2 linked regions of the Saccharomyces cerevisiae S288C genome follow. The protein of the gene in region 1 interacts with the protein of each later gene in a pairwise test. Each region holds a gene or a part of one and is shown in the gene's direction. Other genes may lie near its edges.

Region 1 (4,719 bases):
AAATAAACAAAAAACTATGATAAAATATTTCTAAAAATCTAATTGGAAAACAAAAAACTATCCAAAACCCTGGGCAAAATAATTATTTCGAATAAGTACCTCGACTTCAAATCAAAACAAACAAACAAACAAGCAAACAAACAAATAAACAAACAAATTCTCTGTTCCTATTTTCTTCCTCTTTGTTCTGCACTTCCAGCTTTTTATGCGAGAACATCGTGTAAACTTCCTATTTAAGTAATTACATGGCTGAAAAAGTGAACACGCTAGAACACGAAAAGACAAAAAAGAAAAATGGAAAAAACAGAGGAAAATCAAGTAGAATAATGTTTATTTACCTTTCACTCAACTGTATCTTTTTGTTTATTTACTTTTCGAGTTTGCATAATTGTACTGAATCAATCCTTGCGCAATTTGGTTTTGAGAAGAGTTTCCAGTAAAATAAAATGCAAAATTATTGTTTATATACTTATTTACTAGTATATTTAATTGAGCTAAGCAAGGATTTATGTGTTGATGCTTTATTGTGCTTTTTGTACTGGACTTCTTGGTCTTAACAGCTCAATCTCATTTTTTAATGGGATATTCGAACCTAAATTAGCTATCTCTTCTTTATATCTCTTGGGTGAGAAGTTATCCAACATAACATCTGGGCTCACTATAACCCAGCCAGGTCTTACTTTGACGGGTGTCTCGTAACCAGTCCTTGCAGGAATAATATGTAATCGTCTAGTCGCGGTAGAGAAGTTTTCTGCAATACGATACAAATGGGATGGTACAGCACCATTAGTGGTGTCCTTCGTTTCGATACTCAAGTCAGTGTCTACGTTACAATGAATAAGATGTCCATCTGTAGACCTCCTTACTGTACCTGTGATACACATCCAACAGTGCCATTGCATTTTTTCCATCAACGTTTCATCGTCCTGATCTAAACCTGGATAAAACGGTGATTTCTTGTCAATAGGAACAAAAACCAATTCTTCACTTCTTCTAAACTTTTTAGCCCATATTTCATTATTCAAAAGTTTAGTAAGTTCATTGATTTTTTGAGAATTGGCCCAGATGAACAGGAAACCTGGTTTGGAGATCAATCTATCCAATGGCAATTGGGTTAAAATTGGGTAAATAAACTGATTTTCTGTTAAGCAGCCAATCATCACCACGTCGAAAGTCAAATTTTCGTTCTGTATCCAGTGATTCAACGTTGGAACAATGGAATCTATTCCGATTTTACACCCAAATGGCGTAGTGGCAAATTGATTTATTTGTTTAGCTTTCGCCTGAAATAATTTCTGAAGTTTTGGATAGCCATCAACCCTATTCTCAATATTAGTAACATGCTGTTGCGGTAGCGACTTCCCATGAATGTAGTTATTCGAGTAATCGTTTGTATGGAAGTCTCTAGAGGGTTTGAATGATACGTGTTTAGATTTCATTTCTATTGTTTCCTGGTTTGGCCCTTGCAAGTGACTGTTGTTGATGTGTCTGCTTTTATTCTGGTCGTAAGTTGGATCTTGGAATGCCATCTTAATAGTATTCTCACTTCTCTTTTGTTTTATAATGGCTGTTCTACTTTCTTCTATGTCATAATATTTAACAAAAAGTCGCACTTGAAAAGTTGAAACAAGTTATGTCGCAAGATGAAACTCGGAAATGACGAAGTGTGAAACAAGACTACAGAGCGACAAAAACCAAGCTGCAAATATACAGTAATGAAACTGAAAATATGTCCAGCAAAACTAAAATTGTTTGAGCTCGATACTAACTTCCTTCTTTTTTTTTTTTTTTTTTTTTTTACTTTTGGCTATCCTATTGTAAACGCTGTTTTACCCTTTTGCAAAGCATTTGATCACAAGATATATCCCAAAAACTATTTTTTGACTTAAGGCATTAAGAGGAGATAAGGCTCCTAATGTCACATCCAAAAGCCAAAGTATGGGACAAGCATTTCGCCCCTTTGCTCTTATTGCTTCTTGTTAAGTAGAAAGGGTAATTATAATCGAAAAATTCGCGGGAAATGATTTCAATGTTCGACTCTGAGGTAAGAAGTAAAGAGGAGATGAATAAAAGTAAAGGAAGAAGAAAAGAAAGTTGAATGGTTTCGAAGAAAAATACGGCTGAAATCAGTGCAAAAGATATATGGGAGAATATATGGAGTGGTGTAAGTTCGCTGCTTGATTTCTTCGCAGTATTGGAAAACCTAGGCGTGGTCAACGATAAGTTATATGTAAGTGGGCTATTACGGAAAGTTTGGCTGTGTTACTCGTGCATTTCAGTGATAAAATGTGTATGGAAATTAATAAAATTATGCAAGGTGAAATTTAAAATCGATCAACGATTGGATGGGGAGGGAAATGGTCTAGTAAAGGATAAGTTGATAAACTTCAAGAAAAAATATAACGAACATATCAGACATATTACTGCTGCTTTACTCCAAGATTTGAGCTATTTAATGGTTTTAATCTATCCAGGGACGAGGTTATTTAAAAGATTATCTAACATAATAACACTTTGTAGAATAATTGTATAATTTTATGCTTGAACGAATTTAGTTCTGTAAGCCCAGCTCCTTCAAGAAAGCATCCTTAGAAGGTTCCCTACCCAAAAATTCTTTCAGATTATCATTAATATCATAAAGGCCACCACGAGCCAACACAATATCACGGTATTGTATCCCATTCTTGGCATTTAACGGATCCTTAGCGAATTTGGTGTGATACATATCAGTTGCAAAGACTTCCGCCCATAGATAACCGTAATAACCGGCAGAGTAAGAGTCTGACATTATATGGCCAAATGAATCATAACCCTTGGATAACGTACCACCATTAGAAATCAAAGAAATATCCTGTCTCAATTGGTTCCAGGTATCGCAAATTGACAGGTTTTGCAAGTCTTTACAAGTATGTACTTTCATATCAAATAACCCAAAATGTAATTGTCTTAGAGTGAATAAAGCACCATTTACGTGTTTAGTTTTGATCAATGAATTGATCAAAGATTCTGGAATTTTTTCGCCCGTTTTGTAATGTGATGAGAGGTTGATTAATTCATTCTTATTCCAAGTCCAAAATTCTAACATTTGGGAAGGTGCCTCCACAAAATCCCATGGAACAGATCCGGGGCCATTAAACCTCGATTCCTTGTTTTGTCCCACCAGGTCATGGATACCATGGCCCAATTCATGGAAAAAGGTCACTATTTCGTTATGCTTCAGTAGAGAAGGTTTATCCTTCGTAGATTTGGAGAAATTGCAAACCAACGCAGTAACCGGATACGATCTTGTGGTGTCATCAATCATGAATGATGACGATAAACCAAAATTGGCAGCGTGGCCATATTTACCATCACGAGGATGTAAATCGAAATAAATCCAACCAACAAAGTTTGGAGACTTTGGATCATCCATATTCCAAACGGCGATTTGTTTGACGTCGTCATGCCAAACAGATTTGTTTTGAGAATCTTTCGTCTCGATAAACTTCAAATTAAACAATGTTTCGTATATTTCCAGCATACCAGTAATCGTAGCCTCTAGTGGAAAATATTCAGAAATCTTTTCTAGGTCCACATTGAAGTTTTCTAACAAATATTTGTTATCGTAGTAACGGTGGTCCCAAATGTAGTAGTTTGGATCTGCACCCTGGTTAAGTTTCTTAACATCTTCGGCTTTCATATCTTGCAAGACCTGTAGTTCCTTTCTGCCCAGCGGAATTAGCTTGTCCTTCAAATCATTCAAAAAGTTCATTACCGTAGTGCTATCTTCAGCCATTTTATCATACAGGTTGTAGTTCGCATACGTGTCATAGCCCAATAACGAGGCCAATTCGTCACGCAGCTTCAATGTATCCAACAGTATAGCTTCATTTTCAGGGACCTTATTTTGGTCGGCCAAAAAGGCCTGCTTTCTAGTCTGAGCTGAGGATGCCAATTTCATCACGGGAAAAATGTCCGGATATTTGAAGGTGACTTTATACAAGGTTTCATTGCTATCTTTGTCAGATTTTATTGTCTCGAACTGCGTCAAAATAGAATCCGGCACACCTTCCAATTGTTCTTTGGTGAAAGTGATGTATTCCTTTTGTTCTCCCAGATTCTTCGAAAAATTAATAGAGTTAACGGAGATCTTCTTTTTGATCTCTTTGATTTTCAATCGGTTTCCCTCGTCAAGTTCCAAACCAGAATGAATGTAGTCCTTGTAAGACTTCTCAACGTATTTGAAAGTTTCTCTTTCCACAGAATCTGCCTTCGATTGAACATCCTGCCAGACGCGGGCGAATTGCAAAAAGATGTCGTGACGCAGAGATAGATCGATGTTCAACTCATCCAGTTTCATTGAGGAGTTCACAGATGCGTCCCTAATTTCTTTATCAGACGACACATGCTGTAAGAAAGTTAATTGGTTAATTATTGGGCCCAATTCATTTTCAAACTTCATGAAAGGCTCCACAAAATTACTCACGGAAGGGCTCTCTACCTTACTCATAGAATCATAGAAATTGTTGCTGTTGTTGATGATTTCGTTGGTTTTCCCACTAATATCGCTGGGAGTGAACGACCAATTAGGCGGGGCCTGGGGAGCAATAGGGAAACTAGTAGTGTTAGCCATTGAATATAAGGAGCGGGTATACAGTAGTGGTGAGATTACAGGTGACGCAAACCAATTCTTGCACAGCAACAATCGCATCTCCAAGTATTCCCTCTATTTTTAAACTC
Region 2 (8,461 bases), on another chromosome or scaffold:
TCTTGCTTGTAGATTAAATTTTTTCGAAGCTGCTGTGTGTTTGTTGTACAATGGAGCCGACCTTGAAATAAGAGAAAAACTTTTTGGCTGGACAGCTATCTTCGTTGCAGCAGCAGAAGGGTTTACGGACATTGTAAAGCTCTTGATAGCCAACAACGCGAACTTTGATATTGAAGATGAAGGTGGGTGGACGCCGATGGAGCACGCGGTATTGCGCGGTCATTTGCACATTGCTGATATGGTTCAAATCAGAGACGAACTGGTCACGCATCCCCATTCACAGTTGAACAGTGGTAGCGAAGAGAAAGAACCACTAAACGAAATTAGTGCCGGAGAATTAAATGAGAGAAATGAAAATGGAAACGGAGGTAATAAAGGGTCCTTGGGAAAACTGGCCGGACCAATAAAGTCATATGGACACAGATTCCTGGATAATAATGAATCACTTATACTAATAACATTGGGAAGTAATGACACAAGAAACAAAAGCCCTTCAATTTCATTAAGCTCGGAAGCACTAGCAAAAGTTATTGGGTTGGAAACAGATTGTGCATTATCGTTAGTAATTTCATGCAATGATTCAATTGATAAATCTTCTGTAATCTTAGATTTACCATTAGATGATAATGTGGACGCAGTAGACTTCAAAGTGCCTTTCAAAGTTGATTATTCTCATACATTATATTTTGATATTGTGCCAACATATGGAACACGCTCGTTGGAGACCCATAATAGAATAGATTGTCAAAAAAATAACAATAATTACGTAATGGCAAGGGGTGTTTCCATGTTGAATAAGTCGTACAGCTCAGTGGGAGTTAATAGAAGTATATTAAATGGTAGCGTGACGGTCCCCATCATCGCTAATCATACACTGGAGATACTTGGGACGCTGAAATTTGAATATATTATTATCACACCATTTGAACATCCACAACTGCCCTTAGAAAGAACAGAAACGTACTGGAAATCCTTAGTGTCCACTCGTGTTATAGGACATAGAGGCCTGGGTAAAAATAATCCTAATAAATCATTACAAATTGGAGAGAACACAGTCGAGTCTTTCATCATGGCAGCCTCATTGGGAGCATCGTATGTAGAGTTTGATGTTCAGTTGACGAAGGATAACGTACCAGTGGTATATCACGATTTTCTCGTAGCTGAAACAGGTGTCGATATCCCCATGCATGAATTGACGCTGGAACAGTTTTTAGATTTGAACAATGCCGATAAAGAGCACATTCAACGTGGAGCAGGTCACTCACCTCATCATGTAAATGGAGCAGATACAGCACTACAAAAATATAGAGGGCGTTCGGTAGATGATTCAGACGTTAGTACATTGAGGAGAGCTTGGGATTTACACGACAACGACCCGAATGGGAAGTCCAACAATGCTCATTGGTCTGACAATCGAATGAGGCTAACCAAAACATTTAAAAAGAACAATTTTAAGGGAAACGCTAGAGGACATTCAATAGCTTCATCATTTGTTACCTTGAAAGAACTATTCAAGAAAATCCCTGCCAACGTTGGGTTTAACATAGAATGTAAGTTTCCCATGCTTGATGAGGCAGAAGAGGAAGAGTTAGGGCAAATAATGATGGAAATGAACCATTGGGTTGACACCGTGTTAAAAGTAGTTTTTGACAATGCGAATGGTAGGGACATCATTTTTTCGTCATTTCATCCGGATATTTGCATCATGCTTTCGTTAAAGCAACCGGTTATTCCGATCTTGTTCCTGACGGAAGGTGGAAGTGAACAGATGGCCGATTTGAGAGCCTCATCGTTACAAAACGGTATAAGATTTGCTAAGAAGTGGAATTTATTGGGGATTGTATCTGCTGCAGCACCCATTTTAAAGGCCCCACGGTTGGTGCAAGTGGTTAAGTCTAATGGGCTGGTATGTGTCACTTACGGTGTGGACAACAATGATCCCGAAAATGCCAGTATACAAATTGAAGCAGGTGTAGATGCCGTGATCGTCGATAGTGTATTGGCAATTAGACGTGGGTTAACCAAAAAGAATGAAAAGTAACGAAGATACACTACTTTTATTTTTAATTTATTTTCTTTTTTTGTTCGTAAATTTATGTATGCATGTGCTTAACTAAAATAAAAAGAGAATGCTTATTTTGATAAAAGGGATGATGATATAAACTACAATAAGGTTTCACCCAATGCACACCTTGCAATGGCGCAACCTGCAGAGATGGTGTTTGAAACATGGATATCATGAATAGCCAGATCAGGGTTACATTCAACAACGTCTAGCGCAATTAAATTACCGGATTCGGCCAATCTTTCCACCAAGAAAAGACCTTCTCTCAAGGTCAACCCACCTCTCACTGGAGTACCTGTAGCAGGAATGTATAATGGGTCTACACCATCGACGTCATAGGAGCACATAATGGGACCTTCACCGTTTGTTTCTGGGTGCACGGCTTTCATTGCCATTTCAATGACAGCGTTGATGCCGTATTTGTCAACGTGGTACATGGAAAAGGCGGCGATACCCAGATCTTTCAAGATTTTCTTTTCTCCGGCATCAACATCTCTCAACCCAATATACGCGATCTTTTTTGGGCTCAAGTTGCCTGGAACCCATTTGAGCGACTCGGGACAATGTGGGACATCCTTGTTCAAACCCATTAGGAATGACACGGGACAGCCGTGCAAGTTTCCAGAGGGGGTGCTTTCTATGGTGTTTATATCAGCGTGGGCGTCTATCCATAAAAGACCAGCATCGGGGTATTTGTCCAAAACCGCGGATACAGTACCAATGGCTATTGAATGATCACCACCCAAGGTCAAGGGGAATCTGTTCGCCTGGACCACTTTCGACACGGAGTTGTACACCAACTTGGTGGCTTCACCAACCAAATCTGCTCTTTTAGCCTTGACACCGTCTATCATAACAGAGGAACCCCCAGTTGTGGAGTCCTTCTCCATTTTCAACTTTCCCACAAATTGGGCCTCGTCCATTGAGGGCTCTAATTCCGTAGACCAGCCCAAATCCTCTATGCTTGTTTGCAGACCATGCTTAAGCATGTATTTAGGGCCCTTCTCGACACCAAGCTTACCCTGACCGCCGCTGAATGGAGCCAGAACGATGGACAATTCGCGATTTTTGTAGTAGTTGTAATGAGGTCCTGTTTCCATCTTGATAGTAGTTATTGTTATTGATATAGTTGTTGTTGTTGTTTCTGCTAACTTTGAGAAAACATATACAGACCAAGAGAAGAGAAACAGTCTTAGATCTTGATAGAAAGTGGGCCGCAAGCTCTGCTTATATACTCTTTAGACCCCTCGGCGGCTACCGCTAAGTGAAAAATTCAGCGAGCGGCGATGCGCTGTTGATTGCCATTAGCAGCACGGTGCTTTGCGAAGGGCAAGAGCTAGAGACTATTCGCACTAGCCGATATTTTCGCGGCGTCTCGGCTTCTTGTAAGGGATAGAAAAAAACTGTTAATGGAAGGAGCAATCAAAGGGCGGGGATCGCGGGCGACGGTGCGGCATCGAAAAAGTGAAGAACCAGTAAAAATAGAGGTGGGGTTTATCAGTGTTGATATCTAAGTTTATGATAAACATTGATGAGTCAGGGATTGCACCCGTAGTTCATCCGTATGATGTGATGTTGTTTGTTTTTGTTTCATGTAAGGTTGCTAGAATAGGGTCCTGTCAGACAGTATGCGTAGCTTTACCATCATTTCGCCGCTATATGTGAAGGGCCGTAAATTGGATATACGGTATGTAAAAATCAGCGGAATATTATGATGAGAAGTGAGAAAATTGAAGTCAGTAATCTTGGATATTCAGAACTGTCAATCCTCAGTTTGGCCAATTTTATTTAATTTGTTAATAGCAGAACTTACCGGGCGGTCCAGTTTTGCCTACACGGTTTGGTATAAAGTTTAAAAAGCATATATACGAGCTAGATGAAGTATCCAATAGAGTTTTTCTCACGATGGTATTGGAATAGCTTCCTTGAAAGGTAACTACATACAGTGTCGAGGAAAAATAGACAATTACTTAAAGGAGTAAATGTTACTATACCTGAAAGAAATTAAGAGTCGCCATGCGTAGCAGTAATCACAACCGACATCGGGGAAGAGTGAGGGGAGCAAATTGGATGTAAATATTTTGGTGAATTTGCTCGGTACGCGCTAAACTCACATGATTTAGCAGCGCCGTGGCGCAGTGGAAGCGCGCAGGGCTCATAACCCTGATGTCCTCGGATCGAAACCGAGCGGCGCTAAATTTATTTTTTTCTTTTTACTCTTCATTTTTTTTCCAGGTCGGTGATAGTATATGAAATTCCGGTGGGATTGGGCTTATTATTTCAGGTTATATAATTTTTGAAATACGTTTTTCTTCTTTCTTCTCAGAATCATCGGTAATTTGTATGCTGGAGAAAGTAACAAATAGAGTCGATATCCTCAACTTCCCTGTAAGTCTTCACCTATAGAAACTGGTCGTAAAACAATGAGTCAGTTTGGCACGACAGATATCGTTTCCGGTTCAGAAACACCACCTTATTCTGGGGCAAGTTACCAGGACGCCCAGGATGACAATACCCATCCACATTCATCAGACGCCGGTGCAGAGAAGTTCAGTGCAGGCAGTGGAAGCGAGTCGCATACTGAATCCTCGAGAAGTGATGATGAGGATTCTCAAGCAAAAACAAAGATGGTGGATAATATTACCATCTTAAAATATATATTGGATTCTCTATCTGGTAGAGACAAATTAGCCAAAATTATCAAATACGCTCTGGATATATTAAAACTGTTTATCGAAAAGTCTAAGCGAAATTTAACTGTTTTGGACCCTTCCGTATTAACGTACTATACCAAGATTTTGAAAAATCTGACTGTAAAAGTCGCACTAAGGCATCCAATCACGGTAATTAAAGTACTTCTCCTGTCTCTTTTGAGAAATTTTGACAAGAAAATTGATTTTATCAGTCAACAATTAAGTACTTTTAGATATATTTTAAGGTTTGGCGGCACACCATTCCGAGTGTGCAGTTTCTTGGGGAAATTCAATAAAACCAGAAAGTGCAACTTTCAAATTGACCAAATTAAGAAAATATGGTTTAATGAAGCTTCATTGAGAGAATTTTTGGACTTGTATTATGGTATCTTTGATGAATTAGACTTGCTATACAAATTGAAAATATGGACAAATAAATCATTCTATTCCTTTGTCAGTAGACAAGAGTCTCTTGCATGGCAATACGACATTCTTTTAAGCTTGAAGGACCATTGGCTCAACCTGCAAAGCTTACAGAAGAGACAATTAGAATTGGAAGTGCAACTAAAAGTTCAAAATAACGCGTTACTACTCTCACCCATACTGATGCATCAGGCCCATAAAGACGATGGCTCACAATCGCCAATTAGGAAACAGTTGTTAAATGACCTAAATGTTAATAACGACGCAGAGGTGTTAATACACAAACAACTAAAGGCCATCAAGGATGAAAAGACACTTGTTTATTTAGATATTGCAAGATTATCGTTTGATTGCATGGCTAATACATCAGATATTCTAAATTTAAAAACTCCAAAGGGAACGTATGCCGTTCTGTCCCTGGGATCCGGCTTAACTGGACTGGTTAAACTTTGGATAACAACAAAGAGGTCACTTTGCTCTTCAAAAGATTGATATATAAAAATATGTATACATATAGATATGTACATATATATGTGGCGAATAATGTTTTACCTCTGCATTTGTATTGTTATTTGATTCGTTGAATAAGATAGTTTGGCGCTCGGTTTTTGCTCTTTTTCTTCCGTTTTTATGTCATTGGGGTGGCGGTAGTCATTCCGTTTTACGGTATGTTTATTCTGACACTTTGACGCAGATCTAAAAGGTGGAGTGTGGAGTACAAATAGCTCTCTCTCAAATACAGAAAAATACTTGAGTGTACAAAAGTAGCAACCTTTAAATAACAATGATTACTTCAATTGACATAGCAGATGTAACTTATTCTGCCAAACCAAGAATTTTGGTGCCTTATAAAACCCAATGGGAAGTCGCCAGTCATCTTCCTGAATATCGCAAACTGGCAGAAAGGGTAGAATTCTATAAATATGAGATGTCCACAAAGGATGATTTTGTTAAATTTTTGGAAACTCATAGAATAAACGGCTTTTGGCTCACTGAGGAGTTTTTCACTGTGTTAGGAAACCCTTCGAGTTATATTGAATTCTTCCCCGCATCTTTAAAAGTAATCCTTGTACCATGGGTCGGCTGTGACTTTATTGACGGTAAGTTATTAAGATCGAAAGGTATCACTTTATGCAACATTGGACCACATGCTGCTGACCATGTCACAGAATTGGCTATTTTCCTAGCAATTAGCTGCTTTAGAATGACTTCATTTTGGGAATATTGTTTTAAATACGTGGAAAATGGTAATGTTGAACAGTGTAAGAAATATATCTCTAGTGACTCGTATGAAATTGTTACAGATAGTTACCACGGTCAGGAAATGAAATTTCCCTCTCGAACAGACAAATGCAAGCCTAACAAGGATAGGAAAGTGGTACATTTAGCAGAAAAGTACACGGTTGGCGGGAAAAAAATGGAATCTCCAATGAATAAAAAAGTTCTAATATTGGGGTTTGGCTCCATCGGACAAAATATAGGGTCTAACTTGCACAAAGTGTTCAACATGAGCATTGAATACTACAAAAGGACCGGTCCCGTCCAAAAGAGTCTACTTGATTACAACGCTAAGTACCATTCTGATCTAGATGATCCAAATACTTGGAAGAATGCGGATTTGATCATTTTGGCCTTGCCCAGTACGGCCTCTACAAACAATATTATCAATCGTAAAAGTTTGGCCTGGTGTAAAGATGGTGTCAGGATAGTTAACGTTGGGAGAGGCACATGCATAGATGAAGATGTGCTACTAGACGCTCTTGAATCTGGAAAAGTGGCAAGCTGTGGTCTCGATGTGTTTAAAAATGAGGAAACACGCGTTAAGCAAGAGTTACTTCGCAGATGGGATGTTACAGCTTTGCCACATATCGGCAGCACAGTTGCCGACATGGTCATAAAGCAGACACTCATCACACTCGAGAATGTGCAGGACATATTTGTCGAGGGAGGTGATGGTAAGTATGTGCTCAACTGAACCATTCATTATGTTACAAAGATAGCATTTCAATTAGGATTACATACGTATATGCATTGCTCTTTATACCACAACTCTAAGAATGTCGAAAGTTATATGGCGGCGGTGATGTTGGAAAAAAAACGCGGCCGTTTTATAAAGAACAATAATCGTCTGACTAGGTAAAGTACCAGATAAGAACCGTTTTTATTGCGCGTATTGGTATGTTTTTTAAACGGAATTTTTCAAGATTGTTAAATACATCAACGATATATCCATTTTAATCACCGTTTACCTTTGTGTGTTAGCTTTGTATCTGGAAGTTTTTTCTCTTTTCTTCTTTGTCCTTGCCTTCTACCATTTTGCCTTTTGTTCGAGTTCGTGATTACATCAGGCATATACAACATCACGTTTGTTGAAACACTGGCTGCTAGGAGTATCTGTGTGTATATTCTAGAATAAACTCACACTCAACTAACAGCACGCAATGACAGATAATTTGACCACAACTCATGGTGGTAGTACCACCCTTGAATTGTTGGCGCAGTACAATGATCATAGATCCAAAAAGGACAAATCTATAGAACATATAGAAAAAGGAACATGTTCAGGAAAAGAAAGAAATCCGTCCTATGATGAAATTTTTACGGAAAACATTAAGCTAAAGCTACAAGTCCAAGAATATGAAACTGAAATTGAGAGTTTGGAAAAGGTTATTGATATGTTACAAAAAAACAGAGAAGCTTCCTTAGAAGTTGTGCTTGAGCAAGTTCAAAATGACTCAAGAGATTCATACGTTAACGATCAATCATTTGTGTTACCCCCAAGATCTGCTGAAAGGAAAGCGCATATCAAGAGTCTTAATTTGCCAATACCGACATTGTCCCCTCCATTGCAACAAGGTTCAGACGTTGCACTTGAAACAAGTGTAACGCCTACAGTACCTCAAATAGGTGTTACATCAAATACTTCAATAAGTAGGAAGCATTTACAGAACATGATACTAAACGATGAAATAGAAGCAAATAGTAGCTTCTCATCTCCCAAAATTATCAATAGATCTGTCTCAAGCCCTACAAAAATACATTCAGAACAGTTGGCTAGCCCAGCTGCCTCTGTTACCTATACGACGTCTAGGATAACCATAAAATCACCTAATAAAGGTTCGAAATCTCCATTGCAAGAACGTTTGCGTTCCCCTCAAAATCCTAACAGAATGACGGCTGTTATCAACAACCATTTGCATTCTCCATTAAAGGCCAGTACCTCTAATAATTTAGATGAGCTGACTGAAAGTAAAAGTCAACAACTAACTAATGACGCGAT

The links. Proteins that work in one complex are often made in the same cells at the same time.
Region 2: the proteins of PEX34 (region 1) and PEX25 interact in a two-hybrid assay, tested with the Saccharomyces cerevisiae proteins (one study listed by BioGRID).

What each region holds. Positions count from the first base shown.
Region 1 is NC_001135.5:24,739-29,457, reverse strand, and holds PEX34 (Pex34p), read left to right. Parts: upstream 1-2,098; coding exon 2,099-2,533; downstream 2,534-4,719. Other genes in the region: KAR4 (Kar4p), read right to left, coding at 522-1,529; PRD1 (metalloendopeptidase), read right to left, coding at 2,552-4,690. UniProt on the Saccharomyces cerevisiae protein: In concert with the three peroxisome divisional factors, PEX11, PEX25 and PEX27, controls peroxisome morphology and abundance under conditions of peroxisome proliferation. Maintains mature peroxisomes in actively dividing cells.
Region 2 is NC_001148.4:334,648-343,108, reverse strand, and holds PEX25 (Pex25p), read left to right. Parts: upstream 1-4,488; coding exon 4,489-5,673; downstream 5,674-8,461. Other genes in the region: GDE1 (glycerophosphocholine phosphodiesterase), read left to right, coding at 1-2,041; CAR1 (arginase), read right to left, coding at 2,164-3,165; YPL113C (glyoxylate reductase), read left to right, coding at 5,966-7,156; GTPase-activating protein BEM3, read left to right, coding at 7,623-8,461. UniProt on the Saccharomyces cerevisiae protein: Required for regulation of peroxisome size and maintenance. Has a role in the import of peroxisomal matrix proteins. Imports RHO1 into the peroxisome. Also promotes peroxisome division and biogenesis.